7 linked regions of the Coturnix japonica genome follow. The protein of the gene in region 6 purifies or fractionates together with the protein of the main gene of each other region. This does not show direct contact. Links are inferred from orthologs where the notes say so. Each region holds a gene or a part of one and is shown on either strand. Other genes may lie near its edges.

What was found.
Region 1: the proteins of POLR2L (region 6) and RPAP2 purify together in Homo sapiens (affinity purification with mass spectrometry; 3 studies listed by BioGRID and IntAct, with this or other methods). This does not show direct contact. The link is inferred for Coturnix japonica from reciprocal best matches to the Homo sapiens genes POLR2L and RPAP2.
Region 2: the proteins of POLR2L (region 6) and POLR1E purify together in Homo sapiens (affinity purification with mass spectrometry; 3 studies listed by BioGRID and IntAct, with this or other methods). This does not show direct contact. The link is inferred for Coturnix japonica from reciprocal best matches to the Homo sapiens genes POLR2L and POLR1E.
Region 3: the proteins of POLR2L (region 6) and protein POLR1D purify together in Homo sapiens (affinity purification with mass spectrometry; 4 studies listed by BioGRID and IntAct, with this or other methods). This does not show direct contact. The link is inferred for Coturnix japonica from reciprocal best matches to the Homo sapiens genes POLR2L and POLR1D.
Region 4: the proteins of POLR2L (region 6) and POLR3E purify together in Homo sapiens (affinity purification with mass spectrometry; 4 studies listed by BioGRID and IntAct, with this or other methods). This does not show direct contact. The link is inferred for Coturnix japonica from reciprocal best matches to the Homo sapiens genes POLR2L and POLR3E.
Region 5: the proteins of POLR2L (region 6) and POLR3F purify together in Homo sapiens (co-immunoprecipitation; 3 studies listed by BioGRID and IntAct, with this or other methods). This does not show direct contact. The link is inferred for Coturnix japonica from reciprocal best matches to the Homo sapiens genes POLR2L and POLR3F.
Region 7: the proteins of POLR2L (region 6) and MED19 purify together in Homo sapiens (affinity purification with mass spectrometry; 3 studies listed by BioGRID and IntAct, with this or other methods). This does not show direct contact. The link is inferred for Coturnix japonica from reciprocal best matches to the Homo sapiens genes POLR2L and MED19.

Annotation. Positions count from the first base shown.
Region 1 is NC_029523.1:12,306,551-12,310,829, reverse strand, and holds part of RPAP2 (putative RNA polymerase II subunit B1 CTD phosphatase RPAP2), read left to right. Parts: intron 1-341; coding exon 342-407; intron 408-762; coding exon 763-851; intron 852-3,011; coding exon 3,012-3,047; intron 3,048-3,879; coding exon 3,880-4,279.
Region 2 is NC_029547.1:66,739,799-66,744,077, reverse strand, and holds part of POLR1E (DNA-directed RNA polymerase I subunit RPA49), read left to right. Parts: intron 1-243; coding exon 244-340; intron 341-1,088; coding exon 1,089-1,222; intron 1,223-2,025; coding exon 2,026-2,107; intron 2,108-2,950; coding exon 2,951-3,082; intron 3,083-4,279. UniProt on the Homo sapiens protein: Component of RNA polymerase I (Pol I), a DNA-dependent RNA polymerase which synthesizes ribosomal RNA precursors using the four ribonucleoside triphosphates as substrates.
Region 3 is NC_029516.1:157,556,507-157,561,436, forward strand, and holds the start of protein POLR1D, read right to left. Parts: upstream 3,410-4,930; 5' UTR 3,295-3,409; coding exon 3,269-3,294; intron 1-3,268.
Region 4 is NC_029529.1:8,348,629-8,352,907, reverse strand, and holds the end of POLR3E (DNA-directed RNA polymerase III subunit RPC5), read right to left. Parts: intron 4,223-4,279; exon of another isoform or gene 4,209-4,222; coding exon 4,131-4,208; intron 3,207-4,130; coding exon 3,093-3,206; intron 980-3,092; coding exon 923-979; 3' UTR 537-922; downstream 1-536. UniProt on the Homo sapiens protein: DNA-dependent RNA polymerase catalyzes the transcription of DNA into RNA using the four ribonucleoside triphosphates as substrates.
Region 5 is NC_029518.1:13,402,388-13,407,114, forward strand, and holds the start of POLR3F (DNA-directed RNA polymerase III subunit RPC6), read right to left. Parts: upstream 3,296-4,727; 5' UTR 3,199-3,295; coding exon 3,143-3,198; intron 2,874-3,142; coding exon 2,756-2,873; intron 1,983-2,755; coding exon 1,915-1,982; intron 925-1,914; coding exon 857-924; intron 260-856; coding exon 147-259; intron 1-146. UniProt on the Homo sapiens protein: DNA-dependent RNA polymerase catalyzes the transcription of DNA into RNA using the four ribonucleoside triphosphates as substrates.
Region 6 is NC_029520.1:8,951,370-8,954,496, forward strand, and holds POLR2L (DNA-directed RNA polymerases I, II, and III subunit RPABC5), read right to left. Parts: upstream 1,529-3,127; 5' UTR 1,446-1,528; coding exon 1,351-1,445; intron 1,208-1,350; coding exon 1,099-1,207; 3' UTR 915-1,098; downstream 1-914. UniProt on the Homo sapiens protein: DNA-dependent RNA polymerase catalyzes the transcription of DNA into RNA using the four ribonucleoside triphosphates as substrates.
Region 7 is NC_029520.1:7,805,264-7,809,121, forward strand, and holds MED19 (mediator of RNA polymerase II transcription subunit 19), read right to left. Parts: upstream 2,235-3,858; 5' UTR 2,212-2,234; coding exon 2,016-2,211; intron 1,875-2,015; coding exon 1,618-1,874; intron 1,551-1,617; coding exon 1,454-1,550; intron 1,372-1,453; coding exon 1,277-1,371; intron 1,140-1,276; coding exon 1,071-1,139; 3' UTR 806-1,070; downstream 1-805. Other genes in the region: TMX2 (thioredoxin-related transmembrane protein 2), read left to right, coding at 2,306-2,494, 2,761-2,821, 2,946-3,059, 3,343-3,419, 3,500-3,606, 3,686-3,751, 3,838-3,858. UniProt on the Homo sapiens protein: Component of the Mediator complex, a coactivator involved in the regulated transcription of nearly all RNA polymerase II-dependent genes.

The sequences.
Region 1 (4,279 bases), on a different chromosome or scaffold from region 6:
TGTCCCAACAGAACTTGGAAACTATTACCTTTGATGTAAGCTCCCCTCTGGATTTGTCTGAATAGTGGCAGAGTCACACATGAACAGGGTTTCTTCTGTGACAGCTCCATTGGTTCACTCCCAGCAGAGGCTTTCTTGTAAACCTGAAGTTGCCTACTAAGATGTGAATGAATAATGAGAAATTGCAGTTCTAATGTCTAAGGAGATACAATACCAAGAGAGCTGCTGTAGTACGTAATTCAGTTAAAACTGAATACATTACTTATACTGAAAACGTGAATTAAAAGGAAAGTTTTATATAACATTGTGACAATCTTGCTGATGAAAGCATGTCATTTTAGGTGCCAAAACAGAAGTACAGGATTTCAACAAAAACTAACAGAGTTTACGATATTACTGAAAGAAAGGTATGGTAACAAGCTGTTTTTAGAATGTATTTAATATTGTCTCCACATCACAAATGCATTTTGTAACAGCATTCATATAATGGACTGAATCACAACTAATGCATGTGTATCTCATGAAAATCATTTTCATAAAGTAAGTAGTGTGTTTCCATCTCCAAAATGTTAAGAGTCATATTGAAAACTAAAAAAAAAAAAAGTTCTGCTGACCCTGAATGTTATTGCATGTCTTTTAAACTGTATGGCCATTTTACAGGGTTCAGAATTGCTCTTCGAGTGTTTTGGTGCTTTATTTGGTTTTTTTTAGTTATTACTACTGAAGATGTCTTTAATCATATTTTCCATCGTTTATTTCCAGTGCTTTTGCAGCAATTTTTGCTACAAAGCATCTAAATATTTTGAAGCTCAAATTTCCAAGAGTCCAGTATGGATGCGAGAAGAAGAAATGTAAGTGTGACCTTATGTATTTGTGGCTCATTTCAAGGATACTGTTTTCTTAGTCCAAGCTGCAACGCAAATTAATTAGTTGCAGTACATCCAAATGGTCAGGCTGAAGCAGAGACAAGTGATGTTAAGTTAGTGTGTTGTTCATGTTAAGTGTTGCTGCCACATGGATTACTGTAATTGATGCAGCCCAGTTCTGGTAATGACTACTCAACAGACTTGACTGTGTTAGTTTAGAGGGCAAACTAGTCTTAAATAATAATGAGTTCCTATTAATTTTAAAATGTATTTATTGTGATTGGATTTTTACAAGCCATGTAAGATAAAGGAATAATCCATCTTACCTTGCAAGAGGTTTTCAGAGGTTAGCCTGAAAGTCTGCAAAATGAAGTTCCTTATTCCACATAAAACTGCTATTTTAGGTTGCCTATTTTCTGTTACTACTGCAACACATTTTGTAAGGGTTACATAGTCTGTGCTTTAATATATTAAAAAAAATTAGGAAACATAGGTGTGCAAACAAAGAATTGAGCCACTGGGTGTCACTGCTCAACAATAAATACTTGCCTAGAGAAGGTTCAGCTCATTCCATTTTCATTGTCCAAGCAAGTACCCTTGCTTTCAACAGAATAAACAATCTGAATTTATATGTGTGAGCTCAGTTTCATGGTAGGAGGATTTATATGAAACACAGGTCAGTGAGAGGAGAGGCTTTAAGCAGCCTGATCTGAGGAATTAGGTAAAACTGTAAAATATTTAAATAAGCTTATCTGCGTATTCATGGTATTGTTTTGCTCTCTCTAAAGAAACTATTTCTAACATCTCTGTTGTTACCATAAAAAGCGGAGTTCTGATGTTTGACATAGTTAATTATCCATGCTGGGATGGGCATATTTTCCAAAACAAACCAACAAACATAATAAAGTAATATCAGATTGCATAAACATTATATATGCACACACTGATACACATTTACACGTGAAAATACCTGAAATTCTCTTGATGGAGAAAGCTAAAAACCTCCATTTAAAACTTTAAAGAGTAATTATTTGGAATTAATAGTTTCACTGTCTTACCACCTTTACTTTCCAGACTCAGTTCATTTATATGAAAAATGCAACTTTCATCCTTTTACATCTGCTATGTTGGTTTTTTTATATATATACTGTCCAAGTTTAAGGAGTTATTTCATTGACTTACATTCAGGGCATGCTTAAAAGGTTCTCTGTCATTCGTAAGGCAGGTATGGATTTCAATAGCCAGTGTTGAATAAACTAATTAGCATTGTGATGTTACCTTATAACTGAAATGAAGCAGAACTGCAGCTAGAAATTTGGGAAGAAATCCTTCAGAATCTGTTCAGTAACAGTTCTTAGTGTTTATGGAAACCTTCAGATTCCATTTTCTTAGCCCACTATAACTTAAGAGTCTATTTTTTTTAAACAAGTAACATCTCAAATGAAGATATCCTGAATATTCCTATTTCCTATAACAATTTGGAGCATTTTTTCTGCAAACTACTGAAGATTGTTTTTCCTATAGAGACCTTGTGAGCTATGAGGATCTGAGCATGTTTAGTTCGAGGAAGAGGAAACCAAGGGATGATCTAAAAAGTCTACACTTATTGAAAAAAATTACCTAGGCTACAGACCCAAACTGTTCTTGGTTTCTATCAAAAAACTTAATGAGTTTGTACTTTAAATATGTTGGCCATAAATTATGGTATCAGTGGTTTACATTAACACTGGGGAAAAAGGTGTGCTCTAAGAGAGCAGTGGAACAAATCAGTGCATGCGGAAAGGTTCTGAAATCTCAATCCTCAAGATTTAAACATAAAGAAGGTGTGGCTGATCTAATCTACTGCTGGTAACAGTCTCACTGTCTCAGTAGGTCAGATTGGAGCCCTCCAGAGGTCCTTTCTAACTAACATTTATATGATTTGATAAGTTATTAAATGTATAATGCTACAGGCCCGCACAAATTATGCTCTGAATGTGAATGTATGAACCTGCTCCAGCTAACCCTGCTTTGAACAAAGGATGTTGGACTAAGATCATTAGAGGTTCTTTCCAGCCCCAACTATGTGTTTTCTGTGTTTGTGCATTTCAAGGGTACTGATTTAGCAGAAAAAAAAAGTCATCATTCCTTATGTTCTTTTTGCAGACCATCAGACATAGAGCTGCTGAAGAAGGGGCAGAGGTACATTGAATAATAATTTGTTATATGCATTTATAGTTAGAAATATTAACATTATATTGGGGAAAGGGCAAATCTTTGAAAAGACTTTATTAGACAAAGGGTTATTTGTCTTATTTCTTTTCCTTTGTGATTCTAAACTAGCGTGTTTGACCTGTATGATTTAGTGTACAGCTGCTCTTGGCCTATGTGTCATAATTGATCCTGCTGAAATCTGAAACAAATACACTGTTTGTACTTTAAATATTTTATACCATCTATTCTTTATGAAGAAAGTGTACCAATTATAGGTGATGAAAACTTCTGCACTTCCTATTCTAAAACACCAATATCAGCTCAATTGAATTCACGTTACTCTGTCATCTCTCTGTACCTTGCCGCATATGGCGACTTTGTTTTCTTTTGGAACATCCAGCCATTAGATGGCAAACTTAAATATGCCAAAAACAAGCTCTACTGGCCTACTGATTTACAGTTACTACGTGTATGTGTATATTGAGATACTGATCTATATTTTAAAATGGAAATAGTTTAAAATTCTTCATACTAAATTGGAACTTAAGTCTGTCTTTAGTAACAACTTGTTTACTATTCTAACTGCCACTAAGCATCTGGGAACAAATTTCTCTAAATAGCATTTAAACTTGCCATCTTAATTGCAAAACATTAGAACTCTGAGTTTAAAGATGATTTCTAGAGCAAAAAAAAAAAAAAAAAAGTATACACTTTCTATACAGGAACAAGGTTCCATTTCTCTTTCTTTTATATAATAATTTTCTAATCTCACGTAACATCCATTTCATACTTCATTGATGGCTTGTGTTTTGTGTTACAGTGGCCAATCTGGAGAAGAAGTGAAAATATGTGATGAAGTAGTTAAAGCTTCTGACATTGAAAATCCTAAGGTATCTTCAACTCCGTATGAATCTGCTTCTTATGGCACAGCCAGTGATAGCAGTAGTGATACCGAACAGGAATTTGTTTCTTCTGTTCTACCGGGAAGTCAGACAAGTTCAGCCAGTCTTGCACAGCAATCACACAGAAACAGCATCCTCAAAAAGAAGCATGTTCAGAAAGTCTGTTACAGCTCTAAGTCTGAAGGCACAGACATGGTGGAAGTCACTGAACGACTCTCTAATTGTAAATTAGATGCTCAGGAAGAAATGCATGCTTGCACAGTTCAAAATAAAATAACTGCGACGCCCTCAAAAAACACTACTCCAGGAGAATCAAAT
Region 2 (4,279 bases), on a different chromosome or scaffold from region 6:
AATAGCATTAATGTCAGGAGTATGTGAGAAATTGTTTGTGTTTGAGCCACTGTACTTCAGAGACATTTAGTTTTGGTTACAACAAGTTCTGTTGTTACTTTCTGCAAATTTATAATCTTTTTCCCCCACTTCCCTACCTCACACCTCCCATAGCAAGAGCTGACAGACCGTATCTCACTATGAGCTATTCAGAACCAGAAAGGAGAGAATGTCCCCATGTTCTTTTCCTTAAAGTCCATGCAGTTATATCTCCAGCAGAGTATGAAGCATTGCAGGGTCCGGCAGCAGCCTTTATTAACATCACTCCAGAGGAAATTGCCAAGAAAACAGAAGAGAAAAGGTAATACTTCCACAAGCAGCCTTTTAATAGCTAAGGCTGGCATTGTGAAATCGTGTTTCTTCTTACAGGCAGGATGGCAGCTGTAGCCAGCTTTACCAGCTCTACAGTATGGGTAGTGATAGTCTTCAGTCTAAAGGGAAGGCATCAGATCATGACCCAGTGTATACCTTTGGGAAGTGTGGAGGTTTAACTTTATGGGAGAAAAGGTGCTGTGCACAACAGTGTGGCTGTCCTCTTGGGAACTGATATTACAGGGGAAGAGAGGGAGTAAATCCAAAGTGCAGGATGAAGGAAAATACCTAGATATGGGACCACAGAGCTGTGCTAAGGATGATATTCCTGTGGCCGAGCATTGTCCATGCCACATACTGTCGTAACTGGAAGTTACTGTAGCTTTGCAAATGGACATGGACTTGTGCTAAGGCCTGGTGCTGAAGTAAGCAGGTAAAGCAGAAGCCACAGCTCACTTTCACTGCTTCCCATCTGTATCTAAGCAGAAGTGTGTGTGCATGCGCACACTCCATGGAGTACTTGTGGTTTTTGCAGTGCAGGGACTTGTGTAGTGCCACATGCAGAAATGTTCTGACTGTGGTGGACAAAAAGAAGAGCAGCATTGTGAGCTTTCTTGTATTAGTGTTCAGGGAACTATTCTAACCTAGGAGACCTGTGCACTGAATTTAAGGGTGTGTTCTAATCAGAAAGCTAGTCCCTGATTCTCTGGTCCTCATGCTCCCTCTTTCCTCTTTAGCCATTGCTCCTTCGTCTTAGAAGAGCTGAAGTTCCTGCCTGCTGATGAGATGAGCAGGGATCACAAAGCTCGATGCCTCTGGTTCCTGGACATCCTTATTAAGTTCAGCTTCCTAAAAATCATCAAGAAGAAGTGTAAGACAATTTTCAACTCTTACCCTTTTCAGCTGCCTGTTGGGACTTGGCTTGTAGTTACCATAATAGCAAACAATGAAGCTTCCCAGAGTTACCTGTTTGATAAACAGCTACATGCAGCAGTTACAGTTCAGCTTGTTTCATGATGAGGTTCAGCATTTCCGTGCCATTGTGGAGTTTTAGATCTGCACCTATTGGGATATACGTGTGTCATTCTCTTCAGTCCTTTTCTAACTGTCATAAATCGGGGTCCTGAAGTGAGATCCTAATTGTAGGAGGTAAAATAGTTTAAGATTAAGATTAAGTTTGAGATTCTTTTTTTACTTACTGACAGTTTTTGGTTCTTATCCCAGGAGGCAGGAAACTATCAGTGCTCTCCCTCATCTAGACTCCATTTTTTAGCTGCAAGAGGCATGCAGTACACAATGCAATCTTTAGGTGTTTTTGTGCTGTCTTTGTGTCAGACTTGGCTTAGTATCTCAATGTGTGGATGACAGTCTTCAGAATGTTTCTTATAAAGTGGCAGGAACTGCTTTTCTCAAAAGCACTGCACAAATGTTTTGATTGAAGTTTACAGGACTTGCTGTATTTCACAGACCTTGTGTTTCTGTTTCTTAAAAAAATTCCAACGTTACCATTTTCAGTGTCTGGGAAGATGGATGAGGAAGGTAAATCTGTCTGTAAATATCTTTCTGCATTGGTGGAGACGCGGGGTCATCCAACAAGAGTTAGTCTAGGAGGCTTGAAATGGATATAAAAATAACCAGTCTTGGTGCTCACTGTGAAACCCCTTTCTATTCTAGATCCAATGGGTCCTGAATGCCCGCTCATCATTAGCAGGAAACTTATGAAAAACTTCACTTCACTGACCTACAACAATGGCAGGTAAGGAACTGTGATTGCTTTGATGTTATTGATGTTCAGATGATGTAGAAAACAGCTTGAAGGGTCACAGAGTCTTTATCAAATAGCACTGCACCAAAACAGGAATAGCAGAAGCTTCTCTTGAGTAGCAGGCCAGGCCAGGTAAAATATTCTGTTGTGACTGATGTTCATACATGAATAATGTAAGTCTAAACCGTAACTGGGAGAGGCAGAGTCATGTGCTTAAACAAGCCTGTGCCTGTGGATTTAGCCAGCTTCACCTGGCTGGCTTGATCAAGAGTGAGAAGACTTGTAACTTGCTACAATGCCTTTCCTTGAGAATCCAACAGCCTCTGCACAGCCTAACTGCAATTGCTCAGCCATCATATATCTGCTGTTTGCTGTGAAGTGGAGGTTCACAGAGAGGTTGAATCCATGTGGGCCAGCGAAGGAGCATTTGTTTATAAAGACTCAGACCAGAGGTGAACAGTAAAAATAAATGCTTTCAGACCTGCTCTGTTGTGTATGGTTGCAGTGAGTACCCTCAGATCAGCTTCATCTTGCTGTTGTCTTGCCAGTGTGCCAGAGAGACAGAAGTATCTGCAGACAGTGATTTAATCAAATCTGTAAACCTGTAAACATCTTGAGAGACCTGCACTTTTGAACAGAAATATAGGCAGTTGGTGAGGAAGATCTTGAGGCCCCTGTGATCAGAGATCTGTGTTTCTTAAAGCTCTTTTTTCATGTCTAGGAAATGCTTGTCATAGCTAACTGGGGCTCCAGTTCTGTCTGCACCTTGTGGGTGGTTGTGTTTTGGGTTTGCTAACTCTCTGCTTTTCATCTGTTCTCACACTTGCTGTTCAGTGTTCAGAATTTAATCTCTGCGTCGCTGAAGACTAAAATTGCAGCATATGTCATTGCACTGGCTCTGCACATTAAAAACTTCCAAGTTGACCTCACTGTCCTGCAGAATGACTTGAAGCTCCACGAAAATAGGTGAGTCATGTTCGCTCCTGCCTGTTAAGATGCCTGTGGTCCTCATGCAAGCAGTCCCTGGGGAAGAAGGCTCTGGATACTCTTCTGTGCCCAAATAGTACAGTGATACCCGCTGTGAGTTCCCTGTGTTGCAGTTGGACTCTGAGTGTGTTGAAGTTTTATATTCAGGCCCTGCTACGTCTAATGGGGTGGTTATACGTGTCAAAGCTTTGAAAGAGTGCTTATCACAAAGCTGCTCAGGTGTACTGTGAGGCTTTTTGTCTGTTTGAAAGTGGAAAAACTTGAGGCAGGCAGCATCAAAATGGCAGAAAACCTATCCAGGTACTACCCAGTGCTGTTTTTTGCCTGCTAAGTCATGTTGCTCCTCACTGAACTGTCCCCTGCATCCCTTCTTTCTGCAGAGATCTGTTGTCAGCTAGGTACCAGTCTGGATGCAAGTACAGATTTGTATCTGACTGTAACTGGAAAACTAGAAAAAGATTTTCTTTCTCACAGGCAGATTGCGAGCGTGTAGTTGCTGTTCCTCCCCAGATGCAAGACTTCACAATTTAACTTGATAAGATTCTGCTCGCCTTACCTCTTCAGTTTGTCAGAGTCTGTCTGGATGTCAGCGTAGCCCTCTGGCACTGGGAGGAGGAGCCAACTCAGTGAAGATAAATGGGTGGAGAACAGTGTGCAGTATAAGCATCCAGGCAAACAATGCTTGCCATGATAGATTTTGAAGAAATTTCTTCCTAGACTTAAATTTTCTGTGGAGAAATTACTGTTCATCTGCTACGTGATGTCTCTGTACTGCTAGCTGCACGGATGTACTTAAACCTGCAGGTTTGAGGCAGAGCCTGACAGCTCCTCTGGCAGTGAGGACTCCCAGCAGACATTAGCTGATCAGGCAGCTTGTTATTGCTATCTGGGAGTGGGTCAAGTTGCCCTGTTAATAGCTGCTCAGCTGTGTGTGATTGCTGTCCCAGCCTTTCCTGTTCTGCAAGATGTGCTGACTCTAGAGACATTTGCTGCCTGACTCCACTGCGTTGATCTTTCCCATCAAGGTTGTTTAGAGGTAATGCAGCTGGGAAGAAACTGCAAAAGGACAAAATGCCTTCAGTTCCACTGAAAAAACATTCTAGAATATGCTGGGGCTTCTCCTAAAAGGATTTAATGTCAAGATTCTGGGATAACTGGAAGTTATCGGAGCTGTTA
Region 3 (4,930 bases), on a different chromosome or scaffold from region 6:
ACCATGCATGGCCAGACACATGTAACTGCCAGCAGCCTGTTCGCAGGTGACCACTCCTTTTTATTCCCTTACTCATTTATTTTTCCCTTCCTAAATCACCTACATCAACCCCTTTCCCTGCCTTTGGTTTCCCCCTAAACATCCCATAATAAGCCTTGAGCAACCTTGAAATGCTCCTCCTCAGCATCTCACATGTCCCATATCCCAGGCAGCAACATCCTTCAGTCCCAAAGGTGCTGCAGCACTGAGTCACTGCAATAGATGGAGGTGCTCATCCCTCCTGTCCTGGCCTTGGGCTTCTGGTGCCCTGTGGGTTGGTGGCACCAGGGATGGGGGAGCTGGAATAAGGTGGTGTGTAGGGCCTCCTGCTGCCCTTATACCTCCACAAGCACAAAAGTTCACTAACACTGCCACTGCCATTCATGTAATCATCTTATTATTCAAGACCTCAAAGAACTGCAATGGTAAAGTACTTACTGCAATCAGGATGCCAGAAAAGAAGCCTAAGCCAGAACACTCAGAGCAAGGATAAATTAAGGCACAAATACACCCCAAAGTTCTCAATGTGGAGCATCTTTGCCTTTGAACATACATGGGGCATGCTGACACAACCATCTTTCGTAGATCAAGATTGTAGCTTGTTTAAATATTCCATTTGTCAGTCTCATAAGTGCTATTTTCAGAACATTTCCACGCTGATATTCTCAACAGTGAAGATACCACTTAATCTAATCTGAAACAATATCAGCTTGCAGACCAATTTTTGCCATAGGAGATAGGGAAAAAATGGGAAATAATGACCTAATTACGACATTTCTATTTTTACTGTTAAAAACAATAGCAAGAAATGTCAATTAATTTTACCAAGGTGCAAAGCTTACTTGTTAAGGAGTGTAATTAGGACATCTGTGCAGCAAGATGGCTATGAATTCTCAACTCAACAAGAGGCTTCTTGTTACTAAACCCAGTAATGGTCTTGGAATTTAGAACAGTATCCCCTTTAGGAAACACTTACTACCGAGATGATGCTCCAAGAAGGCTTGGTAGGCAATTCTAATAAGATTCTGAAATATTTATAGCTAATGAGAGGCAGATCTGACTATAGAACAGTTTTGATACATGGTAATATAAAATCTCTTCCTTTACACTGTCAGAGAAACCTCATTTTTTTTTTCTCCCTGTGCTTCCAACAAAGACACAAAGCACAGAGACCATTTAGAAGGGGAGGTGGGGGAGGAAGAGATGGGGATATGCAGTAGAAATTAAGTAGCAAAAGCAAGTACACATGCTTATAGCAGAAACAACCAGCCTCTGGTAGCTGATCCATAAGGTTTATAGTAGTGACTATTGGGTATACCTTAACATCATCATTATACACTAACAGGATTAATCCCAGAATTTCCTTAGGATCACAAGATATTTCTGGCTTACAGTCTGGATCTGCACTGACATACCAGAGGAAAAAACACCAGCTTATGCTTCCAACAAAGGTTATTGGGTGAAATGGGAAATAACTCAGTAAAATGCAGTGAACAGTAATATTTCACTGATTTTAAGACTACTCCTTATTTTTTAAATCCATACTATGCAAGAGTTGCACTGTAACCTGCAGGTGAGCATTCCCCTTCTACAGAGACTCCTATGAAGTGAAGAAAGCATCAGATGCAAGATGAAGCATGAGTCAGACATGGAAAAACAAGGCAAGCTGGATGAAGACTCTTCCTAAACAACTATAGATAAGTAGCTTCTCTTAGCAGATCCCAGTCTGGAATGTTAAGAAACAAAACTTACTTCAGACCTGAAAAAACACATACAAAAATAGTTATAGTTCCCACAGTACCTCTGGACAGCCTGTGCCAGTGACGTGCCACTCCCTAAGTAAAGAATTTCCTCCTAATATCTGACCTAAGACTTCTCTCTTCTAGTTTAAAACCGCTCCCCATTTTCCTACTACTACCTGTGTAAAACTTTTAGTCTCCCTCCTGCTTATAAGCTCCCTTTAAGAAGTGGAAACACAAAGCACTGGCTGCAAGCAAAAAGTGCTTAGGTTTGGAGTGGCACTAACAAAAAGAGCATTTGTGTCTATATAGAAAGAAGCTTTAATAATTAAACTGATGATCTGAGTGAGGAAGTGCCCTACCAAGAATTAAGGCTTCTTGGAAAGCATTACATTCTCTATCCCCCCCACCACCCCAGTGGCATCATACGTATCTCATTTCAAAGATGTGGTAGATCTAAGCTGAAAGAAGTGACTTAACAGAGAATCACTTCCACTAGAAGGGATCCCTTAAGGTCACCTGCTCCAACCCACTGAAATGAACAGGGATATCTAGAGCTAGATCAGAGCCCTGTCAAGCCTGGCCTTGAGAGCTTCCAGGGACAGAGCATCCACCACCTCCCAGGGTAACCTGTGCCAGTGCCTCACCACAATGATTGTAAAGGAACTTCTTCCTTACATCCAATCTATGTCTCCACTCTCTTGCTTTGAAACCATATCCCCCTGTCCTACTGCAACAGACTCTGTTAAAGCATCTGTCCCCTTCTTTCTTATAGACCCCCTTCACATACTGAAAGGCCATTCTCAGGTCATCCTGGAGCCTTCTCTTCTCCAGGCTGAACAGCCCCAGCTCTCTCAGCCTGTCCTTGTAGGAAGGCATTCCATCCCCTGGGTCATTCTGTGGCCCTCCTCTGGATGTGCTCCAACAGCTCCATGTCTCTCCAGTACTTCAGGTGAGACCTCACCAGCACAGAGCAGAGGGGCAGGATCACTCCCTTGGCCAGCTGGCCATGTTGCTTTGGATGCAGCACAGGTTGGCCTTCTAGATTGCCAGGGCACATTGCTGCTCATGTTTAGCCTGTGATCCAGCAGTACCCCCAGGTCCTTTTTAGCAGGCCTTCCCATCAGCACTCTCAAACACATTTCTTAAAAGTTATGAGACGGAACCATGAGATTCTCAGCCATCACTTCGCTGTAACAGTTCCATGCAGCTGCTTGCAAAAAGTTCAGCCTCTACGCGTTAACCAAATAACTTTAACCACCCATTTATACGACTTTTAAATCTCTCGCGTATAAATGACATTACAAGAGCGGTCCGCATTACGCAGAGATGCGTAGCAATGGGCTGAGGGCTCAGGGCCGAGCACAGGCCGCACAAGCCAGGCCCTACAGGCCGGGAGCCGACACAGGACCAGCCCCAAGGCCTCACTGGCCCTACAAGCGCAGCCCAGAGCGAAGGAGAACCCGCAGCACAGTACGGCCGCCCCTCACCTCTCCAACTCCAGATCCTCCTCCATGGCAGACTACAGCCCGGCTCCTCACGCTGACACAGACGCCATAGCCGCTCTCAGCCCAGCTCCTCGAGGCGGAGCGAGCAGGCGCAGCTCCGGATCCGGCGGGGAGGGGGCGGTGCCGGGCGGGGCGGGGATGGAGCCCTGGCGGCAGCGCTGCCCACCCCGCCCCGCCCCGCCCCGCCCCGCCCCGGGTTGCGCTCCGTAGGGCGGAGGGTCCCTCCCGGCCCGGGGCTGCGGTGCGTCCCGCCTCGGCCGCTCCGCCATAGGCTGAGCCGGCCCCGCGCCCGGCCCCGCGCCCCGGGGCTGCCGCCGGAGTGGCGGAGCGCGGCGTCACTTACGCTGCCCCGGGGGAGGCGGGGAGCGGGGCCGGGCGGTGGGGAGGGAGGCGCCGCGCCGAGTGGCCGCCCGGAGTTCGGCTGCCGCCGTGAGGAGCCGGGTGCCGCCGTGGTAAGTCCGTGCCCCGCAACGCGCTCGGTCCCCTGGGGGCGGCCCGGCCCCTCGTTGCGCTCCGCGGGGCGGGGGCCTCCCCCGGGACAGGGCCGGGCCTGCGGCGGGGCCTGCGGGGCCGCAACAAGTGCGGGAGGGGGAGAGCAGCGCCGGGCCGCTTCGGGGAGTTGTGCTGGAGCCGTGACTCCGGAGTCGCGTTACCGCTGCCTGGGGAGGGCGGAGGGCAGGGAGAGTTGTGGGCAGCGCCGGAGCGCACACATCGATGCCAGGCTGCTCTTTTCTCTCCCCTCTCGTTTAAACCGAAGGTGCGGTTGGAAAACTTGCAGTGCGGCGCCTTGTGAACTTTCCCGAGGCGTGCCGTGTTACTGCTCCTCGCTGTGTGTTGGTGCTCAGCCGAGCGGGTAGGGAGTGCTATGGCACTGACAGGCTGCTCGGCCCCATGGGGCTCCTGTGACCACGCTCCCGGTGCGGGGCGTTGGTTGTTTCCTGCTGTAGGAATCCACCATTAAGTACGCCCGAGCTTCGTTTAATTCCTATTTTAATTACGTGATCTCGTTGCTCTCTGTGTGCGACGGGAAAATGACACGGATCGGCTTTGGGTCGTGTTTGATGCTCTCTGGAAATGCACTCCTGCTCGTAAACGCATCAGAGCTTTTGCTCAGCAGAGACCCAGATCCGAGCTGGGCCCCCGTTAAAGTAAATGAGTGATTTCTGTGTGTCTGCAAACCATTGTCTTCCTTTGGGCTCCACGAAGCTTTGCTGTAAGCTTCAATCCCACCGCAGATCAGGGAGCTTAGGGGGAGCATCAGATGGCTCCGGTTAGCGGCTGTGCACTTGGGAGCAAACACGGCGGTGCCATATGCTGCCGTGACTTCATTACCATCCCTCCAGAGACAAGGTTTGTGAGCACACCTTTGGGAACAACAAAACCGACTGGGACCTTCTTGCATTGACTTCTAAAGTGAGGAATCCCCTCTTTCCTGAAGCCAGTTCTATATGGTTGACTCCAAATGCAGGGAATTGTAAGGATTGCAGTTGTGCTCAACTAAGGTTTTGTTGGCTTTTGAAGTTCTTTATATTAAAGAAAAATATCATGCTTTTAAGTGCTTGTATTATTGAAATTCTAAAATCTTGGAATAAGTGCCTATAAAATGCACATTTTTTTCTTTAATGAGAGCTTTCTATAATGAAC
Region 4 (4,279 bases), on a different chromosome or scaffold from region 6:
TACCTCAAACACCTCCTGCAAATATTCTTTACCTTTCCTTCCTCTGTAAGCCTTTGGGCTCTAAAAGGAGCAAAGATCATTTCCATTTCTTCCTGGGCAAACAGAAGGCAGAGTACAGCAGGATGCCACAGCTGACCTTCAAGATAAAATTTTATTTTTAAAAAAGTTACACAAAATAGAGGTTTTACATTGTTGCCAAGTGTGATATCTGCAGCTGGATGCCTTGCACACGGTGCACTTACCTCTGCACATAGTAAGGCAAAAACTCCATCAACCAAAACCCACATCAATAAGACATCCAGTAGTTGTTCCACATCTATTTCAAGTGTAAGTACTTTTTCAGACAGTTCATTTTACAGACACCAGGTGAGAACAGTTGCTATGTCATACAATGTTTAAAGACAGTGATTTTATATCCCCCCCCCCTCTCTGATGTGCCCACAATCATCACTACCCTTGTTGTACGGAAGGCAGCAAGGGCTGTTGTAATGCTCAGACTAATGCATGAGCATGTAGGTATCGAGCAAAACCTGGGATGTTTGTAAACAAATTTAATTTATTGGCATCACTTACTTACAAAATAAAATATTAGACCATGATTTTCCATCATGTCTGTGTCAGTATATGGTTTTATTTTATTATAAGGAAAGAGAAGGAGAAGCAAAATACATTAGAAATCCCAGATTAATCAAACTGCAGACAGGGTCCCATGTTGTCTTCCTAGTTGCTCTCTGCACCCAGGCAGCCATGCAAACTTATGTGTGAGTGTGCTGTAAATGTCAGTGACTGTCTGCAATGCCACATGCCCCAAAGTAGGTCAGCTCCTGCCCCACACTCCTGAGGCCATGTCTGTGCTGCCCACCGCAGGTTTCCTCTTTCATCCTGGAGAGCATCTGAAGCACAGAAACTGCCACAGCTGTCGTCAAGACTGCACAGTCCCTTTAAGATACCACATTCCACCATAGCTCACACAGCAGTCCTGGGGAGAAAGGGAGAGCCCATCAGTGCCTGCAGCACTGCCCTGCATTTCCAGACCGCAGGGACTACACACTACAAGGTGTACCCCACTGGGAACCATGACTGGGATTCACAGCCTTAAATGTGATCAGTACATCCTCCAGTGCACAAATGTGAGCCAGCTGCAGGTCAGCTCTGCCCTGAAGCTTAAGACAGCAGACAGGGGGAAAGGCTGAGAGCACAGGGAGAGGATACACAATGGGATGGCGGCAGGAAACCAAGGTTTTTGGGAGGAGGAGATGGGAAGGATGGTGCAGCAGCTTAGGACAGGAGGAGAGGTAAGAGCCAGAGGAACTGCAGGGTAAGTGCAGCCTGAAGATGTGGACACACAGAAGGGAGCAGAGGAAGCAAACAGGCTGCCCCAAGATGGAGCCTTTTCAGCAATGTTGTGTGGCAAGGAAGGGTCAAACCTCAGAAATGTACTAAGGTGCTCCGACCGTGTCTGTTACACTCACAGCTGCAAGCTCCACAGCAAAGGAGTTCAGTAAGTCAGGTTTCTTGTGGTTCATTTTCTTATTTCTATTAAATGAATGCTAAGTCTCATGAATTCTAAGCTAATAGCTCCTTTTGCTCCATCATTCCCACTTAGGTAATTCAACAGGAGCTTGGAGGAAGTACTGCTACAGAACTGATGCTGAGGAACTTATAAGTGAAAAAAGCATCAGTAACTATCAGTTCTTAATTCTTGGGACTTGCAGCCAAATGTTCTACAAAGAAATAATGTGCAGAGGCTCAAAAGAGATTTTTCACTCTGGATCTGCAGATGCAAAAATACACTCCCTGTCAGTCTGCTCTTTCCCATATAGGACAGGAGCACATGCAGATGGGGAAATAAGAGTCAACAGATGCTATTTCATTCAAAGTAGAATCAAATCTCCCATGGTTTAACGCAGCCAGATAATCCCCCTACTTCATCAAATCATACTTTCAACATTTTCTTCAGGAACAATGAAAGCTTCACATGCTTCTGTAACAAATATATTCAAGACAAAGTCTGACACAACACAAGGCTGACTGTGCAATGACTTAGATTTTACAAAAGCAGGACCTGGTTTGTTAAGGACAACTGTTGTTTTGGTTTTTTTTTGTTTTCCCAGAAATAATTTATTTGTTAAACACCAACAACAATGTGCAAACAAATGCCAGTGCATTATCGAGACATCCCCAGAGAGCTGTTATTTGAGCCTGACAAACCTCCCAGCACACGCAAGCCAAACCAAACACTGCATAGCAGGCAGAAACGTCTCAGCTTATTTTAATACTAAGACCAGGTTCATTCAAGCAAGACCAGTTCGCTTACTATCACAGCAAGAGATGTGTAATTTTTCAAGTAGGTTATTATTCTGCTTACAGATCCCAGAGTAATAAAGTACTTAAGCACTTGTCTCACTGAAGTGGGTGATGGTGAGCAAAGGCCCAGCAACAGTGATTGAAGTACTACATGAGCTGGCAGCTTTCTCCTTTGTCAATCACAGCCTGCGAGGTCCATACCTCATACCTTAAACTTGTTTAGAAAGTAAATGGTTCATCTTCAAAGGCAGAGATGAAAGGACTCAAACATTCACTATGAGATGTGCTAAGCAGGACTCTGTACTTGTTTTGCTTGGGGTTTTTCTTGCTACACTGCTTTAAGTCCTACTACAGAATATAATGCATTTCCTTCTGAACATCTGACACCTGTGTTCTTCAGCATGAAACAACAACAGTCAGCTCAGTGAACACAGAACACTCCCACTGTCTTAATGCTTAACTCCATATTACTTAAAAATAACTCTCAAGTATGACATTTACTGTGCTCTATTCCCTTCTGGTCCAAAGGGAAGAACAAAGATTTGCTGCAATAACACCAAATAACAGGGGAGTCAAAATCACTGCTCTTTGGAGAGAAACAAGGTAGAATGAGACGAGTGTTACTTTGAAGAAAACAGGCTGATAAACAAGCCCTGCCTGCATTCCCACAGCGACTGTTCTACCATCACTTGTCAACTCAAGGCAATACATGATCCTTCAGTTAAACCAAAGCATTAAAAATTCATGCGTTAACTGAATCAAAACCCCAAGTGAGCAGAACTTACCTTTAACACTCTATCCACCTCCTGCTTGTTCAGGTCTTGACTCAGCTGATTCTGAATGACATTTCTGCGCACTCGATAATTTTTCGAAAAAATTTCAAGCAAAACTTGGCGATGCTTTAGACAAAGAATCATTAACACACAATTACTTTTAACTTTCTATAAAACAAACCATCTGTGCATTAATCCGTACATAACATTCACTGAGCTTCAATAGAGTATTCTTGCTTTGTAACCCTGAAACTGTCCCATTTCAGCCTGCTCTCATTAGGTGTCCTCCCGTTACTTTGCAGCTCTGCAGGGATCCCTCCATGTCTCATGAGCAGATCTGCCCCATCCTGTGACCCCAGGTGCCCCCATGGGTACAAACCTATACTAAAGAAGGGACTATGACATTTTCCTCTCACGCGCTTCCCAGGCAGCTCACGTGGTCTGCTCCAGCCAGGAGGTCGGATGCTGCTTATTCTCTAGAACAATGCTTGAGACTTTCCTATAAACAATTATTTAGGTCACAGGCACAGCAGTTACATTGCCCGTCCACATTCTGTTAAGATGCCTTTCCATCCACTTCACTTACTGTGATAGAAATAAAACTCAGGAGATGTTTGCATATGCTGTAATCATTTCCTTTTCTAAATATAAACAGATACACCATGTTCCATCATCATCATATAACCACTGGTTAACACTGCACTACTGCTGCATTACCACTGCATTACCATTAGTAAAAAAAGAAAAATAATTTGACTGGATCCCAGCCTAAGACCTGCATCACGGAACCTCTCTCTTCATACAATTAATAGTATCTACATGCCACTTAGTTACCAGTGTCTCAGTTTCTGTTCCCAACAACTTGTTCCTGATATGGTGACAACCACCCCGAGCTTTCTCTCAGCCTGAAGCTGGCTGGCACTGAAACCTCTGAGTCTTCCTTAGGGAACGGTGAAAAAACTGCTGTACTGCTTCCAGAAATGCAAAGTGAAGCAATGCCAAACCCTCAGTAACAATGTGTTTGGGACCATCACTTATTTCTGTCTTTACCTGATCATAAATGTCACCGGCTTCCCAAAGTGCATAAACCTTTAGCTCATCTGGTGAAGCAGCAGTCTGTGGAGGAAACTGAGAACAAGAGGCTGTTAAAAATAACTATCTATTTAATGAGTTCTACTTAATGATTCTATCATACAGTA
Region 5 (4,727 bases), on a different chromosome or scaffold from region 6:
TGTTAAGAGTAAAATGTTGGTCCACATGCAGTGACAAAGCTGGAGGCAGAACAAGGTTTCTCTGCTCCCTGTTCCACGTTCAAACATGTACAGCATGTAGCAAACATTTGGAAATGTTAAAAAGCAACAAGTCAAAAATTACTCACTGCCACAGATTTCACTGCTTTAATTAGTTTCTTGCTTTCCAAGTTTTTCAATATCTTGTTGATCTCCGTTAAAGGCAAATTACTTTTGTATCTGATGTCCCTGCTCCAAATACCTGTTAAAGAAGCACAGAAATGAACAGAATTAATTAGGAGAACCAGGTATTTGTTTCTGTAAGGATTAACAAGCCAAAAGTCATAATGTTGCCTGCCAGCCAAAGGCTGCATCTCCAATCCTACCACCCTCAGCAAAAGGGAGGGAATGGGAAAAAGAGGATGAAATAAAAATCAACTGACAAAGCAGAAGAAAAACCTCACAGCACAGTCACCATCTGTATCTCTGGGAGCTCTTACATGTACACAACATTTGGCCTCACAGGAGATCCAGGAGACACAGAATTTTGTTTTTAAAGTGATGAGTATTTTGTATAGATTCCCCAGTTTCACAGTCCCATCAATAAGCCATAATTCATATTCTGAAACTTCATATTTTGAAAGAGGTCCCAAAAGGTCAGACCAGATAATTTGTTATTTTAATAGAGAAATATGTCTTCCTCTGTTTTTAATAAGTGGCACGTGGAACATTAGCTACAGACTTAGGCGTGCTCTATATCTGATATCTGCATTGCCTGGACAAGAATTTAAACGTTTGGACAGGAAAAGTTCCACAAACAAAGCTATTACCATTCCCCATTATAATTTATTTAAACTACCTTTGTTGCCTGCATCTTCTATGATTTGGTAAACCAGCTTCTCTTGATTGTCAGAGCCTTTCATTTTACTGTGGAGTAGAAGAGACAACGGGATTTTTTGGGGTAAGTTTGAAGTTTGAAAGAGGGTGGATTTATTTTAAACCAAAAACAAATACTATGAACAGAAACCACAACACACAAAGGGAAAAAGAAGCCCCACACAATAAACCAGCCAGTGGCAAATAAAATACATGACACCAAACCTCTGTGGATCATTCTGCGATTGCCAGTGAAAAGCCACAGTAAAGAGAAAACAGCACAGTTGAAAAAAAAAATAATATTAGTCATTAAAAATGAGGGTAAGCAGGAAACACTCAACTTCTCTTAACAAAGAGAAGTTTGGAGTCACATATTAACACAACTGCATAAGGTCAAACACTCAGCACATAATTCAGGACCAACTGTCGCAACAAGGGGACAGCAGAGGCTCTACAACGTGCCTTCTCACTGGTCTCAGAAAGCCTCAGCTTAGAAGGTTTTTTTCTAATGCAGTGGAAAGAGAAGTTGAGATGCCTGCATGGAAGATAATTTTGAAGGACGTTTCTTTCTAGAAGTAAATCCAGGCATCTCCTACTCAGCTCCACACAGACATCGCAAAACACGACTTTATTGAAGGCATGTTTTAATAAATCAAATAAAAGAGCACAAACAACATATCAAGCGGCCTTCTGGAACTGCTGTAAGTGCTGGAAAAGACCACAGAACGATACTTATAGATGGTGTGGTCAAGCTTCAGCTGGCTTTCATCTGAGCATTCGCATCTGCTCATAGAGATCACTTTGCCAGATGAAGAATTCCACTAGTAAGCTACAGCTGGAGCCCCATGGGAGAGTCTGTGCAGCAGGAATCATACAACAGTTGACAGAATTGGCTCAGGGGGGTTAAGCGTATCAAGCAAGTAAATTCTGTAATATCTTTGTTACAGAGCCCATGTTAAATTCCTTGCTGTGTTCTCAGCAACGCCGCACATCAGCTGCAGAACCGCATTCAGATATTGATTGCGTAAGCACAAGGCTCACCTTGCATTTTGAGACTCTTTGATTCTATACAGGAGACCTGTGCTGCTCCTGAGAAGGTCCAGTTGCCCCTGTGGGAAACAGGCACAGCACATTAACTTCCCTTCTAACAGCTTCTTTTCAGAACACGGCAAGAAAATCTCCTTAACTTGTAAAGAAAATAAATGTACTTTGTATCAGCTGAATACAGAAAAGGGAAAAACAACATTTCTAACTGCTAGACACAACAATAACCCTGAGGATATTATTCTTCCCCTCTGACCATGCATTTATCATTAGCTGTCAGAAATAACAAACACAGCTCCAGCCTCTCCCCACAACACTGGTGCACTTCCCGTTGTTTCTCCTAACGTTCACCTTGGGACATGGAGCTCTTGTATACTTCCCACCAAAGTGCTCATTCATATGAGCATCCAGATATCAAGTGAGAGCTCTGCTGGACAGGAACACTGAACAATTCCACAAGTGGAAGAGATGAGGGCTCTTATTTTGTTGGTTATGTTCTCAGTTCTGTAGATAACTGGAAAAGTGTCAGCCAAGTTTGAGGATGCCTCATGGAGGCTGCTCACTCACACAACAGGTGTTAACTTTATCTTACAGAATGGAAACTACATTTTGAGGTATGTTTTAATAGATGATGGTGACCGTTATAAGTGGTTGTGGTGGTCACAAGTGAGAACCACAATTAAGCTGCAAAAACTGCCAGTTCTGGCAAATGACACTAAATCCAAGATGAACTTCCCAGCCCTGCCCAGCTGGGTGCCACCACGCAGCCATTGACAACAGCCCATTGACATCAAGAGCCTCAGGATGAAGCAGCTCGAAGGGGTGTGGAACGTCGTACCATGGAGAGCAGCCTGTTGATGGCCATGGCTCGCTGCTGGGCCTCCATGTGCGGCATGTCATTCTGGATCACCTGGTCTGTGATGCCGTGAGGGAACTGCTGGCACAGCTCAATGATCCTGGGGGAGGAATGAGGCGGTTTATGAACCAAAGGCCGTTGTGCACAAAACCAGCCACCTGAAAGGCCATCAGAGCAGGGACGGAAAGGAAAGAGCAGCTCAGGAAGAACCACTTCTCAGCTCTTTCTGACAGCGCTGCTGCTCCACTTCACTTTTGGGCTGCTCTCAACATCAACGCACCAGGACCCACCAGGACCCACCGCTCCCCGCCTCCCCAGCACCACGAAGCCTCTCCCGATGATTTCGGGCCAGGGCCCGTCCCAACGCACCTGCTCTCTATGTCCACGGGGTCGGGCACCTCCGGCTTCACCTTCACCTCCGCCATGGCGGCGGGCCGGGCTGCGCGGGGAGATGCCGTCACCAGGAGCGGAGGGGATCGGTTACTGAGCGGCACGTTGAGATGACGTTATTTGTACGCGCCGGTGCCGGTTGCCGAGTAACGGGACGCGTGGGCTTTGTCGACACCGCCTGCTTTGTGGTGGTTGTGGTTGTTGTTGTGGTTGCTGTTGTTGTTGTGTTTCAGGGATCGCAGAGCAGGATGGCGGCGGGCTCCGTGTCTGTGCCGCAGCTCATTCCGCTCCGGGTCCCTGTTCCAGGGCAGGCCAAGCACCGCATCGACAGCGGCACCCGGGTGGAAATCAAGTCAGGTACGGGCTGCGGCTTTGCCTCTGTCAAACCTCCTCTCAAAGCGTTTGAGCCTTCCAGCCTCCGTGTTGGCTGCAGGTAACTGGCCTCAGGAACTCCACCTGCCATCAGAGGAGATGGTTTATCTGTTGGTAGAACAGTGTTTTCCTGCAAAACCACCGTGCGGTGACTTTATGAAGAGAAATATTGCTAATCGTGACATCGCAGCCATTCAGTGTCAGTTCTTCATGGGAGAAACGGTTTTGGTTCTGAACTTTTATGCAATTGCTTCATTGTGCTTATGTGAGAAAGTCAAGTACTCACACAGTGCTGAGTATCTGCAGGGTTGTACAGATATTTGTGTTTTTTTCCAGCTCCTGCACAGTTTGGCTAATTACTTTCTCTGTGTTGTTCAGATACACCTGAGGTCTCTATTTATTACACTTTAGATGGAAGTAAACCAGAACTTTTTAGGAAGCCTGGCTATGGAGAGCGTAACACTTTTAAGTATAAGAGTCCTATCACGTTACCAGTCGGGAAAATAACAGTCAAGGCTCTTGCAGTTACCAAGTAAGTATCCTGCTTTAACTTAGTTCTGTTTTAGAATGGACATCTTAACTTCATGGTTAGAAGAACACACAAGGAATCCCCAGTCCAGCTGGGAATCTGTTCCCCACTATTAGCACCTGCATGTAGCCTTTGCTTGTATCTGCATTGGAATATGACAACATTATATTCCCTGTGCAGGACATGCAAACCCTAGGTCTGAAGGTATTTTCATATATCACTATCTGAATTAACAGTTCTTTCCAGTGTTTTATTAAGACATTTCCAGGTGCACCAAATTGATGCTCTGGAATGAAAGCAAATTCTTAATTAATAGCTTGTACATTTGTGGCATTTTAATGTTACTGCTGTAATTTAGCAAGTGAGAAGGTAGAGAAGGTAGATAAGAGAAGGACAGTTGATATATCAAATTGACAGTGTGCTGTCTGCTGCTTGACTGCCCTTTGTTGCCTGCAATGCTGGCAAACTAATTACTCCAGAAAGCAGACACAGCAGCATCAGGAGTTAGTTTCACAGGTAAAAGATGTTGAAGAATTAAAGTATCCATCCGTATGTTTTACTGTTAACTTCTTAGTGTGCACACTAACTTAAACATAATAACAAAACAAAGCAGAGGTTTTTGAGAGTATTTCCCAGGACTGTGCTTACTCACTGAAGTAATGA
Region 6 (3,127 bases):
TCATAGTGTCCCTTTTTAAAGACAGCCAGAAAGAGTTGTTATTAAGTGAATTTTGTTGTGTAATATGGCAGTCACACAGAACAAAAGCTATCCCGCAAACTGAAGGGGATACTAGAGTTGCTTAATTCTCTTTGCATTAGGCTGAAGTATGTGGTTTTAGTGTCTTTGCAGAACTGCTGAATATGAGAAAACTTAGCCACTATCCCATTGTAATAAATGGAAAAGTTAGATCAAGTGTAGAGATTGGTAGGGTAGTAGCTATAGCCAGAGGCTGGCTGTCCTCTAACTGTTCTTTCTGAGACAATCTCTTCTTGAGGTTTGAGCAGAGAAGTCTGATCCAGCAAGCAGTGGAAAGGTGGGTTGTTTTGGCCAGGCAGTCCCAGGCTGCACATACATCCTATATGAAGCCAATGAAATGACTGACAAGTGGGAAGCTTGCACTCATACCAGCAACAGAGCAGTGCAGGTGTTTGGCAAGACTCTGATCCTGTTCACAGTTACATGCATTAATTCTCACATCCATTGCCTTCAGATGTATTTTACCTAAGTGAGGAGCACTGCGCCACCTGATTTACTGTTTTCTGTGATGGAGCTGCCAGTCTGCCCCAATTTTTAACAAGACACTATAGGCTGACTTCAGTGAAAAAATGAGCTCCGCTAGCACTGCAACCTACTAAGAGTAATGCCTCATTCATAGCAAACAAACATCCTCTGTGCTGTTTCTGGAGCCTGGAACTTTGCTCTCTTTCTAACCCCCCTTGATTGCCCTAGCTTCAAACACTGTATTTCTAACCTCAAAATGACCACTGTGAGGAAATAGTGAGATGGAAGTGTATGCTGAACTCTACCCAGCAACTCCAGGAAGGCCACAGGCAGAGGCTTCCTCTAGTTCAACATTTTACATAGACAAATGATTGTATTTCATAAAACACATTTATTTTTTACGGGCAAAAGCATCCTAAAGTTCACAAAAAGAAACCAATAACAACCTGTATGTAATTAAAGAGAAACATCTACATATGTAAGCTGTAGCTGTGAAGTGGATGTCGGCCTTCATTTATTTCCTTGGGAGAAGCTGGTGGCTGGGTCAATCAACTCTCATTTCTCCAGCGGTGCGTAATTCAACAGCTTCTCAATCAGATCCACGTGTGCCAGGAGCATCCTGCGGCAGCAGTAGCGCTTCAATCCGAGGGCATCCAGGGCATCTCTATTAACAAATAACAACACGATTAAAAGAAATAAATACAAAACGAGTCAGAACCGCTCGTAAGTGCTCCTAAGCAACGCAATGATTGCTCTGAGCTTAGTTTAAAGCAAGGTATTAGCGTGTGCTGTTAATATGACACCCACCCCTCGGTGTACTCCGCCTGCAGGAGCCCGAGATACGCCTCCCACTTGTTGCCCACGATCTTGCCGCACGTGAAGCATCGCACCGGGATGATCATGGTTCGCACAGCGCCGCTTCCTCCTGCAGCTGCCCGAGCGCAGCCCTACGGCCGCTCCCACTGCACCGGGGGGACACGGGCGGTGCGAGCCGTTCTTGCTCAGCCGTGAGGATGCAGAGCGGCGCTGGAGCTCCCCCGTTCCCGCACAGGACGGCGGATGGTAGCGGCCGCCCTACGGCTCCTTGCGCGGCTCAATAGTGTTTGCGAGCGGGGCGGGCTGCTGATCGCGTTTCGCGTGCGCGGCGCGTGGTGGCAGCCGGGGCCGGCGGAGCGCAGAGCGGAGACACCGGCGGGGCGGGCTGAGCCGAGCCGAGGAGGCGCCGTGCCCTTCCCTCCCTCCCTCCTTCCTTCCTTCCGCGCTCTCACTTGTTGCTTTACACCCGGACTTCTGCAGAAGGCACTTCTTCATCGCGTCCTGCTCGAGGTACCGCAGCCGCGCGGGGTGGAAGCGCAACTGGTGGCTGCAGCCCGGCGCCAACCAGCGGGGCACGGCAGCGCTGTGGGACGGGGCAGCACGTCGCACTCCCCTCCCTTTTCCTCCCTTTTCTTTCCCTTCCCGGTGCGCGCACTGGTAGCGCCAGGCGCGGTCCGTCTCGCGGCTGTGTTGGCGTCCCCAATTTGGGGCGGTTTGCTCCGTGTCCTCGCTCCCCTTTGGAAGGGGAAGGAGCCGGGCAGGGGCTGCGCTCCGTGAGCTGCGCTCGGCGCCGATTTGCGCGGCGTTGCCCGCTCATTTGGAGGAAGCCGGGCTGCGGAGCGCTGCCGTGGTCAGCGGGGTAAGCGAGGTTAGCGGTCCCGTGGCGGCGGCAGGTCAGTCGGGAGTTGCTGAACTCCGGGTCTGGGGGCTGTGGGGGGTGATGTGGGGGGGTTCAGGGCTGCCCGCTGTAGCGTTCCTCGGTCTGTCGGCGAGCCGCGCGCAGCGAAAGCAAACGGGGCATAAGCCGTCCTTGAGGCGCTATCCCGCTCCCCGGAGGGTGGAGGCGGCCGTGGCACCGCGAGCGTCGCGTTGCAGCTTTACTGGCTGCCCCCAGCCGGGGAAGTTGGGCTGCAGCGGGGGATGCGTCGTGAAGCCGCGTGCGATCCTCCCGTGTGAGCGTCGCGCGGAGTGCTGCGCTATGCGATGCTTGTAACTTGAGGGCGGCACGTTGCTGTTCGGGACAGACTGGGTTAAAGCGTCACCCCGAGCGCTGTCGGTCCTTAGTGCCCTCTTGCTTCACGGTTGTCCTTGGGCAGAGCGGGGATGCACCCAAAATACTGTATTTTGCTGCTGGAGCATCTGCGAGTTGATACGGCGCGCGGCGCAGAGCCATTACTGTCAGGCGTATAAAGTCTTAATGCACAGCTTATGTTAATACGCCTTTCGTGCCTGTGTTTTGGACCGCTGGGTTGCTGACCCTCCGCGCAGACCTAACTTGAACTGTAGAGGAGCAAATAGTTTCGTTTTAACCGGCGAGGTTGTTTGAAGGAGGTTTTGCAAACGTTTCCTAATGAAAAGACAGCGATTTTTGCAGCCCCGGGGAGTGATTGCACTCAGCTGTGTGCAAGCAGCACGGCTTGGCTTGGAGGGTGGAGAAACCTCCTGCAGATTGTTATCGTTATTGTTGTTTCAGGCCAGTGGGAGCCAAACTCTCTTTTCTTTTTCTCCTTTGCTTTCTTTTCTTTTGGGGGAGGGAAGTTGAGAATTT
Region 7 (3,858 bases), about 1.1 Mb from region 6:
TATTATTTTTTTTTTTTAATGGGTGATCAGGTTTTTTTTGGCTGTCACGTGGTTATTTTTATCTCCATGTGGGGAAGAGGCACATCCCTGTCGAGCAATATTTTCTCATCACATGCCAAAAAACGCAGCCAAGGAGCCCAGTGCTGCCCCGCCACCCCCAGCCCCATTGGGGAGCCCACCCCGCACCGGGCCCACGCAACTTCACGCACTACTTGACTCTTTCTCTATGGCAATATCTCTCCTGTGGCCTCCGCAGAGCCATGCCATTGGTTTTTTGTTTTTTTTTTTATTATTATGATTAGCCATTTTAAAAACGAGGAATAAAAGGATATTTAATGAGTCACCTCAGCGGGCATGCGTGTGCTTTGTGCGGTGTCCAGGGATGGAGGAGTCCGTGAAGGATCCTGTCCTTCACTTCTCAGCTTTCCCTCCCTCGTCTGGAGTGGAAAGGAAGGGGACAAGGAGAGCCGGGCCCAGCCTTACAGGGCTGCCAGTGCCTGCGCCCTCACAGCTGGGATGTGCTTCCTTAGGGCACTTTGGGGCACAGCGCTCTCAGTGCAGGTAAGTGGAGCTGTCAGGGTTGGAACATGTCCCAGGACTCAGTGAGGCTCTGGCTCTTCTGTAGGAGCCCCCACAGGGGCAGCCCTGGGGGACATGGTGCTGAACTGGGGTCACTTGTGTCCTCCTGAGCCTTCTCTCACAGCCCAGAGAGCTGCAAGGCCTGGAGTATGATGGGACAGGCACAAGGCCTCTGCTCCTTGCCCTGCCCCGCTGGCCAACAGTCAGAGCCGCCACTGGCACCAGCTCTTCCTCAGAGCAGACTTTAATTAAAAGGTGAATAAAAAAGTGAGATCCCAATGCACCACGTTGCTTAGGTGTGGTAGGAGCCCCCATTCCAGCAGCGTCCGCGTCACCAGGTCCCCATCAGCCACACAGTGCAAGCAGGGGGGTTGCAAGGCCACGTTCTCTGCAAGCGGGGACCATGAGTGCCCACACCTCCCCGCTGTGCTCTGTGATGGGACGAGTCCACAGCTGGGGCAGGGAGCTCCATAGAGCAGCACAGCGCAGCCTCACCGCAAGCTGCTGCTGCTGCTGGCCTGCGAGCTGCCCACCCCGGGGTGCTCGGGGCTGTGTCGGTTCTGCAGAAGAAGGACAGGCGTGAGGCCTTGTGAAACCCAGTGCCAAGCCCTGCTGGAGGCCTAACGTGTGGTGCTGCCGCGGCCTGGCACGGGGCTGGTGCAGGCAGAGCAGAGCAGCACGCTGCCTCCTAACCTACCTTCTTTTTCTTTTTCTCCTTCTTCTTCCTTTTGCGCTCCGGATCCTCCTCTTTCTTCTTCTTCTTTTTCTTGTGGTCTGAGTCCGAGGGGGTTTCTGCAGGAAGCAGAGGAGGGGTGAGCGGGGCACAGAGTTACCAGGACACATGGGGTGCAGAGTTAGCAGGGCACGGTCCTACCTGGGGGCACAGGGTCCTGCGTGCGGCTCTGCTTGTGCTTGTGCTTGTTCTTCTTCTTGGGCGGCTGGATGTGCATGAGGCGGCACTGCTCCGGCAGCTGCAGGGGCTCATGTCAGCGGACCCCCTCCTTACCCCCATCCCCCCTTCCTCCCCCGGGTGCTCACCGGGCCGGCGTGCAGTCGGAACCCGGTCAGCATGGTGCCGGTGAGCGGCGTGAAGGAGCTGCCGCAGATGGGCGGCTTCTCGATGAGGGAGCGCAGGCTGCTGTTGTCGTGTGAGCCGGGCAGGTCGATCATGCCGGGCAGGTCGGGCAGGAAGTTGCTGAGCTTCTCCTTCACCTTCTTGCCGCAGAACTTGTTGTACGCGTGCTCCAGGCTGTAGTGTGTGATCAGGTTGCTGCTGCCCGTCAGCTCCGTGCCGCCTGCGGACGGACCGGCACCCTCAGCGCCCCGCCCCTCGCCGGACCGCCCGCGCCCATTGGCCCGACGAGCCGTCACTCCGCGCGTCCCGCCCGCTCATTGGCCCCGCGCCCCCCCCCCCTCCCCCGCGGCCCGGCCCGCACCCGGCAGCTCCCGCAGCAGGTAGAAGGGGCCGGTGGCGGCCTTGCGCGCCGCGTCGTCTCCCGGCGGCGGCACGGCGGCTGCTGGAGGCGGAGCGGCCCCCGCTCCCGGCCCCTTGTTGGGCCCGAAGCCCAGCGCGGCGGCGGCGGCGGCGGGAGGCGGCTCGGCCCCGCCGAACAGCGCCGAGAAGTTCTCCATCTTCCCGCCCTGCCCCGCGCGGGGCCGCCCCGCCCCTCGCGGACGTACGTGCAGCTCCGGCCAATGGGAGCGCGGCGGGCGGCCGGAGGACAAGATGGCGGTGCTGGCCCCGCTGCTGGCGCTGCTGTACTCGGTGCCGGGGCTGTGCCGCTGGCTGGCCCGGCCCTACTACCCGCTGTCCGCGCTGCTCGCCACCGCATTCCTGCTCGTCCGCAAGGTCCCGCCGCTGTGCCGCGGGCTGCCCTCACAGCGGGAGGACGGCAACCCCTGCGACTTCGACTGGGTGAGCGGCAGCACCGGGCCGGCCTGTGCCGTGGCCTACTCGGGTATCACCGGCGCTGGGTGCAGCCGAGGCGGCCCCTCTGTGCGCAGCCCCGGCTCCTGATCGAGGGCAGGCGGAGGATGAAGGCTGGAGCGGCCTGGAATGGCTGCTTGGCCTTGTGGTTGTGCTGCAGGGCTGCTCGGTTGTGCCCGAGGTGCTGGCTGTGGCTGTGGCTGTGGCTGTGGCTGTGGCTGTCACGGTGCTCACTGCGTTTCTCTCCTGTGCAGCGGGAGGTGGAGATCCTCATGTTCCTCAGCGCCATCGTCATGATGAAGAACCGGCGCTCCAGTGAGTTGGGGCAGTGCTGGGTTGAGTATAAGCTGCTGATGGGGTGTCTCTGTACTGGAAACAGTTGAGGGATGAGAGTGAAAAGAGACGTGGCCCCATCTCTGATTTCTTCCCTCCTTCCCAGTCACTGTGGAGCAGCACATTGGGAACATCTTCATGTTCAGCAAAGTGGCCAACGCCATCCTCTTCTTCCGTCTTGACATCCGCATGGGCCTGCTCTACCTCACGCTCTGCATCGGTGAGACACGTGGGGAAGTGGGGGGGGATCCGTAATGCAGGGGCTGTAACAGTGCTCCTGTCAGGCCTTGTCTCTGCCCATCCTGTGCATTGCCTTCCTCAAATGGGGCTGGAGCCATCTTGCCTTGTGCTGCTGCTGTCTTTGTAGCCATACAGGCTGCTCTGGGGAAGGAGGAGCCTCCCTCAGACTAAGCCTGTGTCTCTTGGGCATTCCAGAAGTGGAAAAAAGGGGGCAGAGGCCTCGCTCCAGGTGGGCGCTGGGCTCAGGGATGCTGTTATTGCAGTGTTCCTGATGACCTGCAAGCCACCCCTTTACATGGGACCTGAGTATATCAAGTACTTCAACGATAAGACCATAGATGTGAGTATCTCCTACCCAGTGTGAGTTGGCGTGGGGTGCCGGGCTCCCTGCCTACCATCCCCTGTTGACTCGCGTGGCAGGAGGAGCTGGAACGAGACAAGCGGGTGACCTGGATCGTCGAGTTCTTCGCCAACTGGTCCAGTGAGTGCCAGTCCTTTGCCCCCATCTTCGCTGACCTCTCTCTCAAGTGAGTGCTGCCTGCTTTTGAGGCCTTGCTGAGTCGGTCCCAGCCCAGTGCTCACTCAGAGCTGTGTTCTGTCTCCCAGGTACAACTGCTCGGGGCTGCACTTTGGGAAGGTGGATGTTGGCCGATACACGGATGTCAGCACCAGGTCTGTGGGGCCGAGAGGGTAGAGGAAGGTACCAGGCCTTCCAAGTGCCTTGATGTCATTGTCTGCCTCTTGCCTTACTCCTGCAGGTACAAGGTGAGCACCTCGCC